3 linked regions of the Arabidopsis thaliana genome follow. The protein of the gene in region 2 purifies or fractionates together with the protein of the main gene of each other region. This does not show direct contact. Each region holds a gene or a part of one and is shown on either strand. Other genes may lie near its edges.

Region 1 (3,753 bases), on a different chromosome or scaffold from region 2:
AGTAAAACCGGCCTCGAATTGAGAAGGTGCCAAGTAGACACCTTCTTCCAACATTCCTCTGAAAAACTTTCCAAACTTCTCTGTATCACTCTTCTTTGCATCCGAGAAATCATAGACGGGTCCTTCCGTGAAGAAGAAACCGAACATCCCGCTTATGTAACCGCCACACATCGCATGCCCGGTTTTCTTCCCGGCTTCTAGTATCCCATTTGTAAGCTCTTTTGTGATCTTGTCTAAGTATTCATATGTCCCTGGCTGACTTAACCGCTTCAGCGTGTGTATACCCGCTGTCATAGCCAACGGATTACCACTTAGCGTACCAGCTTGATACATCGGTCCTGCGGGTGCAACCTGCAAAAAGACATGAGTGATAAAGGATCAGGACTTTCTCAATCTCTTGCAGCAAATTCAAAAGATTATTCGGTTCAATTGTTAACAACTCTAGCTTTACCATTTCCATGATGTCTCTTCTTCCACCGTATGCTCCCACAGGAAGACCACCACCGATGATTTTCCCAAGAGTTGTTAAGTCAGGTGTGATTCCAAAGTATTCTTGAGCTCCACCATAGGCTAAACGAAAACCAGTCATGACTTCATCGAAAATAAGAAGAGCACCATTGTCTTTAGTGATCCGGCGTATTCCCTCAATGAACTCTGGTTTAGGTGTAATAAAACCCGAGTTACCAACAACAGGTTCAAGAATGATGGCAGCAATCTCTCCTTTGTTTGCCTCAAAAAGCTTCTCAACAGCAGCAATATCATTGTATGGAGCTGTTAAAGTATCTGAAGTAGCTGCTTTGGGGACCCCAGGCGAGTCAGGTAGACCCAAAGTAGCTACACCACTACCTGCTTTGACAAGGAAAGAGTTTGCATGACCATGATAACAACCTTCAAACTTGATGAACTTTTGTTTCCCTGTGAAGGCACGAGCAAGACGTAGCACACCCATACATGCCTCTGTACCGGAGTTAACAAACCGAACCATTTCAATACTTGGAACAGCTGAAATCACCATCTCAGCAAGAACATTCTCTAAGAGACAAGGAGCACCAAAGCTTGTTCCTTTCTTCATTGTCTCAGCCAAAGCAGCAAGAACCTGCACTAGACACATCACCGTATCAACTACTAAACTTTCAGCTATCTAAAAATCATCAAAACTGGAAAGAAACAAACCTCATCATCAGCATGACCAATTATAGCAGGTCCCCAAGATCCAACATAGTCAATGTATTCATTTCCATCAATGTCTCTTATTCGTGAGCCCTTTGCAGAATCCATCACCACTGGTTGTCCACCAACAGATTTGAAAGCACGTACAGGTGAGTTCACACCTCCAGGCATTAAGTTCTACACAAAGGAACCAAACCAATTTCAATAATCAGAACAGAATGAAACCAATAAAAACAAAAACTTTATCTCAGATTATGATTCTATCTCAAGTAATCTTATTTTGTTAGCAATGTTCCTTGAAGGGTAACAAAGATAATCACTTTAACCAAAAATATGATCAAATCCCACAAAACCAAAGCAACAGAACATCAAGGCGTAATCAATCTGAAGAAACATTTCTTATTGACTGAATTCATGGAAATTGAAAAGCCTAACCTTCGCAGCATTGAAAGCTTCCTCAGATTTCTGAAGAGTGAATTTCTTCGTCTTCTCCTCTACCGAAACCGACATCTTGATGCAGCGACGGTTGGACGACGAAGAAGCTCTCTTAGAGAACTTTGCGGAGCACGAAAACCCTAGAGCAATCCCTGATCCAGTAAGCGTCGCAGCCATTTTGCTATATCTCTACGTTTCTCTGTTACTCTCTCACTTGCGCTCGTAAGTAGTACAGAGATAGTCAACAAGATAAGGCGGAGATGATCTTCAGATTTTAGATGGAGCCGACCCGGTGGTTTAAATTCAGACCCGATCCGGTTTGATTTTACTGGAATCTGAAACTCAAGTCAATATTTGTTTGTTTGACTTTGTTAACCAATCCGGTTTCTTTGACCCGATCCGGTCCGATAACTTAATTTGACATATATATATTTTCTGCGAATTACATAAATTTTTGTAATGGATACAAACGTGAATTCAAATATAACATGTATAAATAATGACTAGATTATAATTTTCCTTTGCTTATAATTTGGTAGAATATATCATAATTTGATTATGAAAATGTATGTTCTTTTTCAGATCTTCATAAGCTCTTCAAACACTTCCATAGCTGAAGTAGGAAGGCCAAGAAACACATTGATACTCTTCATATCATCACCACTTGGTAAGAACAAGATCACTTCCCTCCCTGGTAAACCAACCGGTCCAGAGAAAACCGGTTCTCCCCAACCGAAATCCAGTTTATGCAATGTCAATTTTGACCAGGATGTAATCAAAAGTGTCGCGTTCATACTCGGCCGTGTCCGGTTCACCTCGAAGTAGTCCATAGCCGACCGCATGAAGCCGTCCGTAACCAGCTCCACCAGTCTCTTGACCAAACCCACCGAGTGAGAAAGAGGGTTCCCAACTAATTCTCCCGATGATGTCACCAAACCGGTTAACACAATCCCGTTCCCGCAATATCCTTGCGGGAGACGTGGGATGAATCTTGACCGTCCATCCGCCGCAAACAGAAGCTTAACCCGTTGGTCCGGTTTAAACCGTAGAGCTTCGCATCTTGATTTCCAAAGAAACCCGGTTAAGGCTTGAAATGTTGATACCTTATTATTGTTATTTTCTTCAATCGCCATGATCTTGAGCTTCTCAAGCTTTTCGGGTTCGAAAAGAAATGATTTGTAGATGAGTTTTTCTTCATCGTAGATTTTTCCGGTGTCGGAAATATCTTCAATTTCGTCGAATTCATTGTGTGGGAACTCGATTTTGGGAGGGTTTCGTGACCGGAGAATCGTACGGTCCAAGAATGGTGGGACGGATAAAGGAAGACCCTTGGCCATCTCGCACCACGAGTTGAGGAACTCCGCAGCGGCGACTCCATCGAACATGTTGTGGCTCATGCCTAGTCCTAGGACAAAACCCCCACATTTGAAATTTGTCACCTGAAAAAAAAAACGGAACATAAAACTTTATCTAAAGATGTTAAAAAAAATCCATGCAACATTTTAGAATGAATCGATACCAATTTAAAGAAATAGGAATGAAATAATATACATTTAACTTAAGTACTACCTATTGGTTACACACACAAAAAAAAAAAACTTACTATTGATCGTCGTTATTTCTTTTGGTTACTTAACAATACTAATTACGCATGGTTCTAATTAGATGGTCTAATGTACCTTAAAGTTTGAACATGATGACCACTCTAGTTTTTAAGAGTAACGTCTGATCATTTGTTACTATATTAGTGTGTGTTCGTTACTACATGCATGAGACATAAAAATGATTTTTTTAGTAACATTGTATCATAATTCATAAATGATATTCGGGAAAAATGTCTTTCAAATTTGGGACGATTTAATTTTGAACTTCACGGAAGATAAATAAATCGTAAAGTTTTTGTTGACTTTCGAAATAAATGACAAAGTGTTTGTTGACTTGCCATTTGAGTCATGTCGTTAAATAGGTTAACAGAAAAAATTTACGGCGTTAATGTCTCGTTTATTTGCTCTGTTAGAACAAAACAACGTCGTTTATTGCAGAGACAAAACATCGTCGTTTTGTCTTGAAACAAATTTAAACCCTAAATCCCCAAATCGATTTCATTATCTCAAAATCACAGACCCACCTTGACCTCAAAATCGCAGA
Region 2 (3,753 bases):
TCTGTTACGTACTTTGGTCAAAAAAACGCTCTCATGTGCCCCAACCTCCACAACCACCATTTTTTTTGGTTTTCAAAACATTTGTTGGTCCTTTATGTTTGCTTATTTATCAATGGAACTCACAAATCACAATTAGTATTTTCGAATTTTATAATCTTTGAAAACCAAAAACATTACTTTTAAGTACACAATTGAAATTCATAGCTAAATAGTTAACATTACTGCTGCAACTCTATATTAATTGTAGAGTTATGGAAAAACAAAAGTACAAACTAAAATAAAGTTCGTTAAACTAGAATTTTACCCCGGAAAATCCACTATTTTTATGATATCTCCTTTACCGGAGTTACACAAATACACTAACCATATGTCTATAGTAATCTTTGTCACATATCAACTCAACCCACTAAAATATAATTCTATCCTCTCTGGTTTGTGTCGTATCATTTATCAACCCTAGTTAGATCAATAATCTCATAATTCCCCAATGCGAGGGCATCATTAGGATTGTTTATCAGTACCATCACATCATCTTTTTCTTGCTCTTGAGTAACGTCACAATCTTCTTGACGTTGTTGTTGTTGTTGTTGTTGTTGTTGTTGTTGAGTAACTTCGCGAGATTATTCTCCATCTAGCATCATCGTCTCAAGGTCATCATTAGCAAAACCGGTTAATTCAGCCTCTTCTGGCTGCTCACGATCTTCATGTCCCTCTAGCATCGTCTCAAGGCTATCAGCAAAACCGGTTAAATCAGCATCTTCTGGCTGCTCATGATCTTCTTGTCCCTCTAGCATCGTCTCAAGGCTATCAGCAAAACCGGTTAAATCAGCCTCTTCTTTCTGCTCACGGTCTTCTTGTCCCTCTAGCATCATCTCAAGCTGATCAGCAAAACCGGTTAAAGCATCCTCTTCTTACACTACTTGGTTCCGTAAGATGTTGTTGGTGTTCTCCGCCACCTGAGTCTGATGAGCCTGATGGTTAACGAGTCCAAACTCGTTGACGTTCGCCTCTTTCTTGTATCGGATCCGACACAAGACAACCTTTTGGAGGTCATCACTCTAGTGAAGAGAATACTCCATCTTCTGTCAATCGGTCTTGACAAGCTTTCCATGCACTCTCCTGTGGTACGTGAAAGACTGCTCGTAACCCATCACCCTTTTGCATGTGTCCGTCCTTGATCTCTTTTTTCCCATCGTTGCTTCTCCAAGTGCCGCCTTCGCTTCCTCCTCTTGCGGCTACCTTCCGGTGTACGCTTAATATCTTGCCACCTCGTTCAGTAAGCGGAACAAAGTAGTACCACTCGTTGTTATTGAACAAAGGATTGTTTACGTGAGGAAGAAGCCAAGGGTAGTCTTGGTGGATGTCCATAGTTGTTATGAAACTGCTCTGATTTCTCTCCACCTTGTTTCGAAGATAAAGCCTCACCAACCCTAGATCCGTCGGACAAAACCGTGATCCAACCGGAAGAATCTTCATATCGATCGTATAGATTCGAAGAAGAACTAGCTAAGGTACCTATATAATTGCTAAGGTTAAAAGTGCTCTTTCGTCTCTTGTGTAATACTGCTCTGTGAAGCAGGGTTTTCTTGAATTCCTCGCAGGTCAAGCGGCTGAACTCTCTATATGATCATGAATATATAGACAACGTGATGGGCCCAACCGGATTTTCTTTTGTCAGCGATTAACTATTTTTTGGAAAGAATAAGACGGTTGTAATTACATCTATTTGGTTATTTGAAATAATAATTAGATAGGATTCGAATCTATAATACACTTTTGTTTTGTTTATCACAGATTCTAACGATAGATAAAGATATATTACATGACCATGATTTATCCACATCAAAATAGCATAGTGCCGTAAACCGGCTAATCGTTTTGGGCCTAATTTGGGCAATTAAGCCCGTTAAGAAGGATAAGAGCCTATTGTGTATCAATATCTTCGGTTCGACCAAATTAAACCGCAATTTTAATTTCGTGTCTGGTTTGGTTTCGGCTAAATAATTCAGAAGTGGTTTAGTCTGAGAAGACTGGAACTGTGTTTTCTTTTACCTTGAGCTGTTAAATAAAAAGGAAGAGCGGTCAAAATCAGTGGACGACGAAGACTTCTTATCATTTAATATCTCTCCATCATCATCTTCTTCTTCAGCATCAAATCCAAATTCGGATCAAACATGGCTTCTCACTCGTCGACTCTCCTCTCTTCTCCTACTTTCGCTCCTTTCTCCTCTCATCGTCTTCATTATTCTCCCAATCCCTCTACTCTCAGATTCTCCCGTCCAATCAGAAATAAACCTAATCTCGCCTTGCGATGTTCAGTCTCAATTGAGAAAGAAGTTCCCGAAACTGAACGACCCTTTACTTTCCTTAGGGATTCTGATGACGTCACTCCATCTTCTTCTTCTTCTTCCGTCAGGGCTCGTTTCGAGACTATGATTAGGGCTGCTCAAGACAGTGTTTGTGATGCAATTGAAGCTATAGAAGGCGGTCCTAAGTTTAAAGAAGATGTTTGGTCTCGACCTGGTGGTGGCGGTGGAATCAGTCGTGTGTTGCAGGACGGGAATGTCTTTGAGAAAGCTGGTGTTAATGTCTCTGTGGTTTATGGTGTTATGCCTCCTGAAGCTTATAGAGCTGCAAAGGGCTCAGCTTCTGATCAGAAACCTGGTCCTGTTCCGTTCTTCGCTGCTGGAGTCAGCTCGGTAATGAATCTCTCCCTTCAATTTTACGATTCTTGGAGGTTCTCATGTTTTATCATTACGGATTTCTGTGTGATTCTAGGTTTTGCATCCCAAGAACCCTTTTGCCCCAACCCTGCATTTCAATTATCGCTATTTCGAGACAGATGCTCCAAAGGGTAAAAAAGCTAAAGTCTCAGTGAGATTGTAAAGTTGTTGTCTTTTGTTTGGACAACAGTCTTAAGTTTTTAATTTTCAACGGCGCAGATGTTCCTGGAGCTCCAAGGCAATGGTGGTTTGGTGGTGGCACTGATTTCACTCCTGCTTACATCTTTGAAGAAGATGTCAAGCATTTCCATTCGGTACTGAGCCTTATTCCTTGTTCTAAAGATATGAGCTTTGTGATCATGGAGTTGCTTTTATATAAACTGCTCTTTGTTGTTGTAGATTCAAAAGCAAGCCTGTGACAAATTTGACCCTTCCTTCTATCCCCGATTCAAGAAGTGGTGTGATGACTACTTTTACATCAAGGTAAGTTTTGTGAGATCCTGAAGCATTTTCTGGAACTGAGGGCCTTATTCTTTGAGTTGTGTTTAGGGATGTTATAGTCAAATCTGAGAGGGTAGAAACTGCTTAGAGAGACGTTCAGAAGCCTATTGTTAGTGTGAGGGCTTTGAAAACTTTTCTTAGAAATCTTTGATTTTGCTTGCAGCACCGTGATGAGAGACGAGGACTTGGAGGGATATTTTTTGATGATCTTAATGACTATGATCAGGAAATGCTTCTGTCATTTGCCACTGGTAAGGGACTGATTGTCCTCAATCTACAACAAACGATTTATTTTAATTGGTCTAGTTTCTTGGTAGACTAATTTAGCAATTGGTGTTTACAGAATGCGCAAACTCAGTGGTGCCGGCTTATATACCTATAGTAGAGAAAAGGAAAGACATGGAATTTACAGAGCAGCACAAGGCATGGCAACAGTTGCGACGAGGGCGATATGTCGAATTCAACTTGGTACTATGACCAAAACATTAGTCTTTTTCTCTGTTCTCACTCTCATCTCTCCAATCTTTCG
Region 3 (3,753 bases), on a different chromosome or scaffold from region 2:
AGCTCGTAAACCCGGCCTCAAACTGAGACGGTGCAAAGTAAACACCTTCTTCCAACATTCCCCTGAAAAACCTACCAAACTTCTCTGTGTCGCTCTTCTTTGAGTCTGCAAAGTTGTAAACCGGTCCTTCTGCGAAAAAGAATCCAAACATACCGCTTATGTAACCCCCGCACATTGGATGCCCGGTTTTCTTTCCGGCTTCTAAGATTCCGTTGGTTAGTTCCTTCGTGATCTTGTCTAAATACTCATATGTTCCTGCCTGCTTTAGCCGCTTCAGCGTGTGAATCCCTGCAGTCATTGCCAGCGGATTACCACTTAGAGTCCCGGCTTGGTACATTGGTCCAGCGGGAGCAACCTACAAAAAAAAAAAAAGAATAGCAACATTGGTACATGGCCACCCCTAGTTTTGAAGCTTGTTAAAGGTCTAGAGCCAGATCTTACCATCTCCATAATATCACGTCTACCACCGTATGCTCCCACGGGAAGACCCCCACCAATAATTTTACCAAGAGTAGTTAGATCAGGCGTGATTCCAAAGTATTCTTGGGCTCCACCATAGGCTAGACGAAATCCAGTCATGACTTCATCGAAGATGAGAAGAACACCATTGTCTTTAGTAAGCTGGCGTAAACCGTTGATGAATTCCGGAGTAGGAGGGATGAATCCGGAGTTACCAACAACAGGTTCGAGAATTACCGCAGAAATCTCCCCTTTATGCGCAGCAAAGAGCTTCTCAACAGCTTCAAGATCATTGTACGGAGCTGTTAAAGTATCTGAAGTAGCTGCTTTAGGGACACCTGGAGAGTCCGGTAGCCCCAAAGTGGCAACACCACTACCAGCTTTAACAAGGAAGGCGTTAGCATGACCGTGATAACACCCTTCAAACTTAATGAACTTCTCTTTGTTAGTGAAAGCTCTGGCAAGACGAAGCACACCCATACACGCTTCAGTACCAGAATTAACAAACCGAACCATTTCAATGCTGGGAACAGCTGATATAACCATCTCAGCTAAAACATTCTCCAAGAGACAAGGAGCACCAAAGCTTGTTCCTTTCTTCATCGTCTCAGCTAGAGCCGCAAGAACCTCGTCATCAGCATGGCCAATAATAGCAGGTCCCCAAGAGCCAACGTAGTCAATATACTCATTTCCATCAATGTCCCACATTTTTGAGCCTTTAACAGAATCAATCAAAACAGGTTGTCCACCAACGGATTTGAATGCTCGAACAGGGGAATTCACACCTCCAGGCATTAGATTCTATCATGAAAAAGACACCATTTGTTCAACATTCAGAATCACATTTCTATGCGCAAAACAGAGGCATGATTCAGTCAAGTCCATCAAAATCTGATCTTTTCCGAAAATTTTCAACCAGAATCAAAAAGTATCGGTGGGACGAAATCAATTTACCTTAGCAGCATTGAAAGCTTCCTCAGATTTCTGAAGACTGAAACTTTTCTTCTTCTCGTCGACGGAAACAGACATCTTGATGCAGCATCGGTTAGAAGCTGGTGAAGAAGAAACTCTTTTCGAGATCTTCGAGGAACACGAAAACCCCAAAGCAGTTCCCGATCCTGTAAGCGTCGCCGACATCTTTGATCTGAAACTCGCTGTCTCTGGCGGTCGGAGTTGGTAATCGAAGTGGGTGGGCTTATGATTGAAGAAGAGTCAACAAGATAAGGCGATGGCCAACCACCGGGTTTTTATTTGTCAAATCCGGGTGGATCCGACCCGAATACGAAAGTCAAGTCAAATATTTTAATTTATTTTAAAATATTGGGTTAAATTGATTTATGATACGTTTAAATTTGGTGCTTTTCAAAAGCATGGAATTTGTGTGAAATTTAAAAATTGTTACTCAAATACGATCGAATATAAAGCTTTACTATTTTGGTTTATGTAAAAATAATCTTACAAATGATTTTTTTCTTTTAACCATAAAATTTCAGAATTTAGACAAATCGTTGATCAAAAAAAGACAATTCTAACGATTTAATTTTCGTGATAATATTTTTGCTATGTGTGATAAGTTTATTTTGTAAGGTGTGACTTGTAGGTTGTAATTGATCTCTATGTCAGAAAAAGTATTGTAAGAAGAAAATCAAAGATTTGAGCTCTTACCAAACAACATTTTAGTAAACACAATAGCTTTCTTTATTAAACTTGATACTTTAACATCTTAGTTACATTTTTGCTCCACCGACGAACAATATTTCATACGACCACAAACACGTAATTGATATATCATCATTATTTGCTTTTTAAATCATAGTTAATTTAAATTCAAACATTAAACCATAAATAATTTTAATGATTCATATATCCATAATCCCTTGGAACACTTTCATAGCCGAGCCAGGAAGTCCAAGCAGCACATTGATACTCTTCGTGTCACTACCACATGGCAGAAACAGAATCACTTCCTTCTCAGGTAAACCGACCGGTCCAGATACAACCGGTTCACCCCAACCGAAATCCTTAGTATGAAACGACAGTTTTGCCCACGACGTGATCAGAAGTGTTGCCGTTAGGCTCGGCCTAGCTCGAGTCACCTCAAAGTAATCAATCGCTGACCTCATGAAACCGTCGTTGACCATTTCAACGGCTCTTTTGACCAAACACACTGAATGAGAAAGAGGGTTTAAAGTCACTTCACCTGCCGTTGTAACGCAATAAGTGAACACAATCCCGTTACCGGAATATCCTTTAGGAAGTTCCGGAACGAATCTCGACCTTCCATCTGCAGCAAAGAGAAGCTTGATCCGTTGATCAGGTTTAAGCCCTAAGGCTTGACAACGAGCTCTCCACAGAAACCCGGTTAGGGTTTGAAAAGTCGTGGATCTCGTCTCTGCCATGATCTTAAGCCTCTCGAGTTTTTCGGGTCCGAAGAGGAAGGATTTGTAGACGAGTTTCTCGTCGGAGTAGAGTTTTCCGGTGCCGGAGATGTCTTCGAGGTCCTCGAACTCGTTGTGTGGGAATTCGATCTTTGGTGGGGTTCGTGGTCGGAGAAGTGTGCGGTCCAAGAAAGGTGGAACGGAGAGAGGAAGGCCACGAGCCGTCTCGGCCCAAGAGTTGAGGAACTCCATGGCTGCGATACCATCGAACATATTGTGGTTCATGCCTAGTCCTAGCACGAACCCTCCACACTTGAAATTTGTCACCTAACAAACAAACCAAAATTTGTATGGAAGCATCGTATACAATGTATTCGATCAACTAAAAATGCATGATTTCTTCAATCGTATTTACTCGAATGTACTGCCCAAAAAAAAACGAGTATGTCCAAAATTTATTTTGTCGACAATCACACAACAATCTTGGAAAAACGTCAATTAGGATATGTTCCAATATAAATACTTTTGAATTAAAAGTTATGAAATTTATGTATTTTGTAGTGAATAATAGTATGGATCTTTTTCTTTCTTACTAATTAGCGTATTTATACGTACATGCATAATTAAAAAATCAATATTAATCTAATTCTACTATATAATATAGTTATTTGAAACCAATATCGGACCAAATCCAGTATAGGTCATGTTCGTTCACTCACACAAAACAGCAAGCAAAACATAATATCAATCGATCAACCCCTCACCTGAACAACCACTGGAGGAATCTCGAGAATATTCCGAGCACCGGGAACGTCGTAAACCAACTTTTCAAGAGTCTCTGGTTGATCAATCTCCGATATAGCCTTCTTTATCTTCTCTATCCCACAATTGGCCTCAGCTTCCACCACTACAACTC

Evidence for each region.
Region 1: the proteins of LIN2 (region 2) and GSA2 fractionate together in Arabidopsis thaliana (co-fractionation; one large-scale study listed by BioGRID). This does not show direct contact.
Region 3: the proteins of LIN2 (region 2) and GSA1 fractionate together in Arabidopsis thaliana (co-fractionation; one large-scale study listed by BioGRID). This does not show direct contact.

Annotation. Positions count from the first base shown.
Region 1 is NC_003074.8:18,047,726-18,051,478, reverse strand, and holds the start of GSA2 (glutamate-1-semialdehyde 2,1-aminomutase 2), read right to left. Parts: upstream 1,909-3,753; 5' UTR 1,783-1,908; coding exon 1,606-1,782; intron 1,348-1,605; coding exon 1,174-1,347; intron 1,097-1,173; coding exon 452-1,096; intron 352-451; coding exon 1-351. Other genes in the region: DCF (HXXXD-type acyl-transferase family protein), read right to left, coding at 2,184-3,044. UniProt on the Arabidopsis thaliana protein: Transaminase converting glutamate 1-semialdehyde (GSA) to 5-aminolevulinate (ALA). Involved in the biosynthesis of tetrapyrroles.
Region 2 is NC_003070.9:869,597-873,349, reverse strand, and holds the start of LIN2 (Coproporphyrinogen III oxidase), read left to right. Parts: upstream 1-2,041; 5' UTR 2,042-2,174; coding exon 2,175-2,699; intron 2,700-2,778; coding exon 2,779-2,854; intron 2,855-2,942; coding exon 2,943-3,037; intron 3,038-3,122; coding exon 3,123-3,206; intron 3,207-3,387; coding exon 3,388-3,475; intron 3,476-3,567; coding exon 3,568-3,692; intron 3,693-3,753. Other genes in the region: NAC006 (NAC domain containing protein 6), read right to left, coding at 444-610, 668-905, 957-1,058, 1,138-1,476. UniProt on the Arabidopsis thaliana protein: Key enzyme in heme biosynthesis. Catalyzes the oxidative decarboxylation of propionic acid side chains of rings A and B of coproporphyrinogen III.
Region 3 is NC_003076.8:25,449,800-25,453,552, reverse strand, and holds the start of GSA1 (glutamate-1-semialdehyde-2,1-aminomutase), read right to left. Parts: upstream 1,754-3,753; 5' UTR 1,597-1,753; coding exon 1,414-1,596; exon of another isoform or gene 1,261-1,413; coding exon 442-1,260; intron 356-441; coding exon 1-355. Other genes in the region: FACT (HXXXD-type acyl-transferase family protein), read right to left, coding at 2,319-3,164, 3,602-3,753. UniProt on the Arabidopsis thaliana protein: Transaminase converting glutamate 1-semialdehyde (GSA) to 5-aminolevulinate (ALA). Involved in the biosynthesis of tetrapyrroles.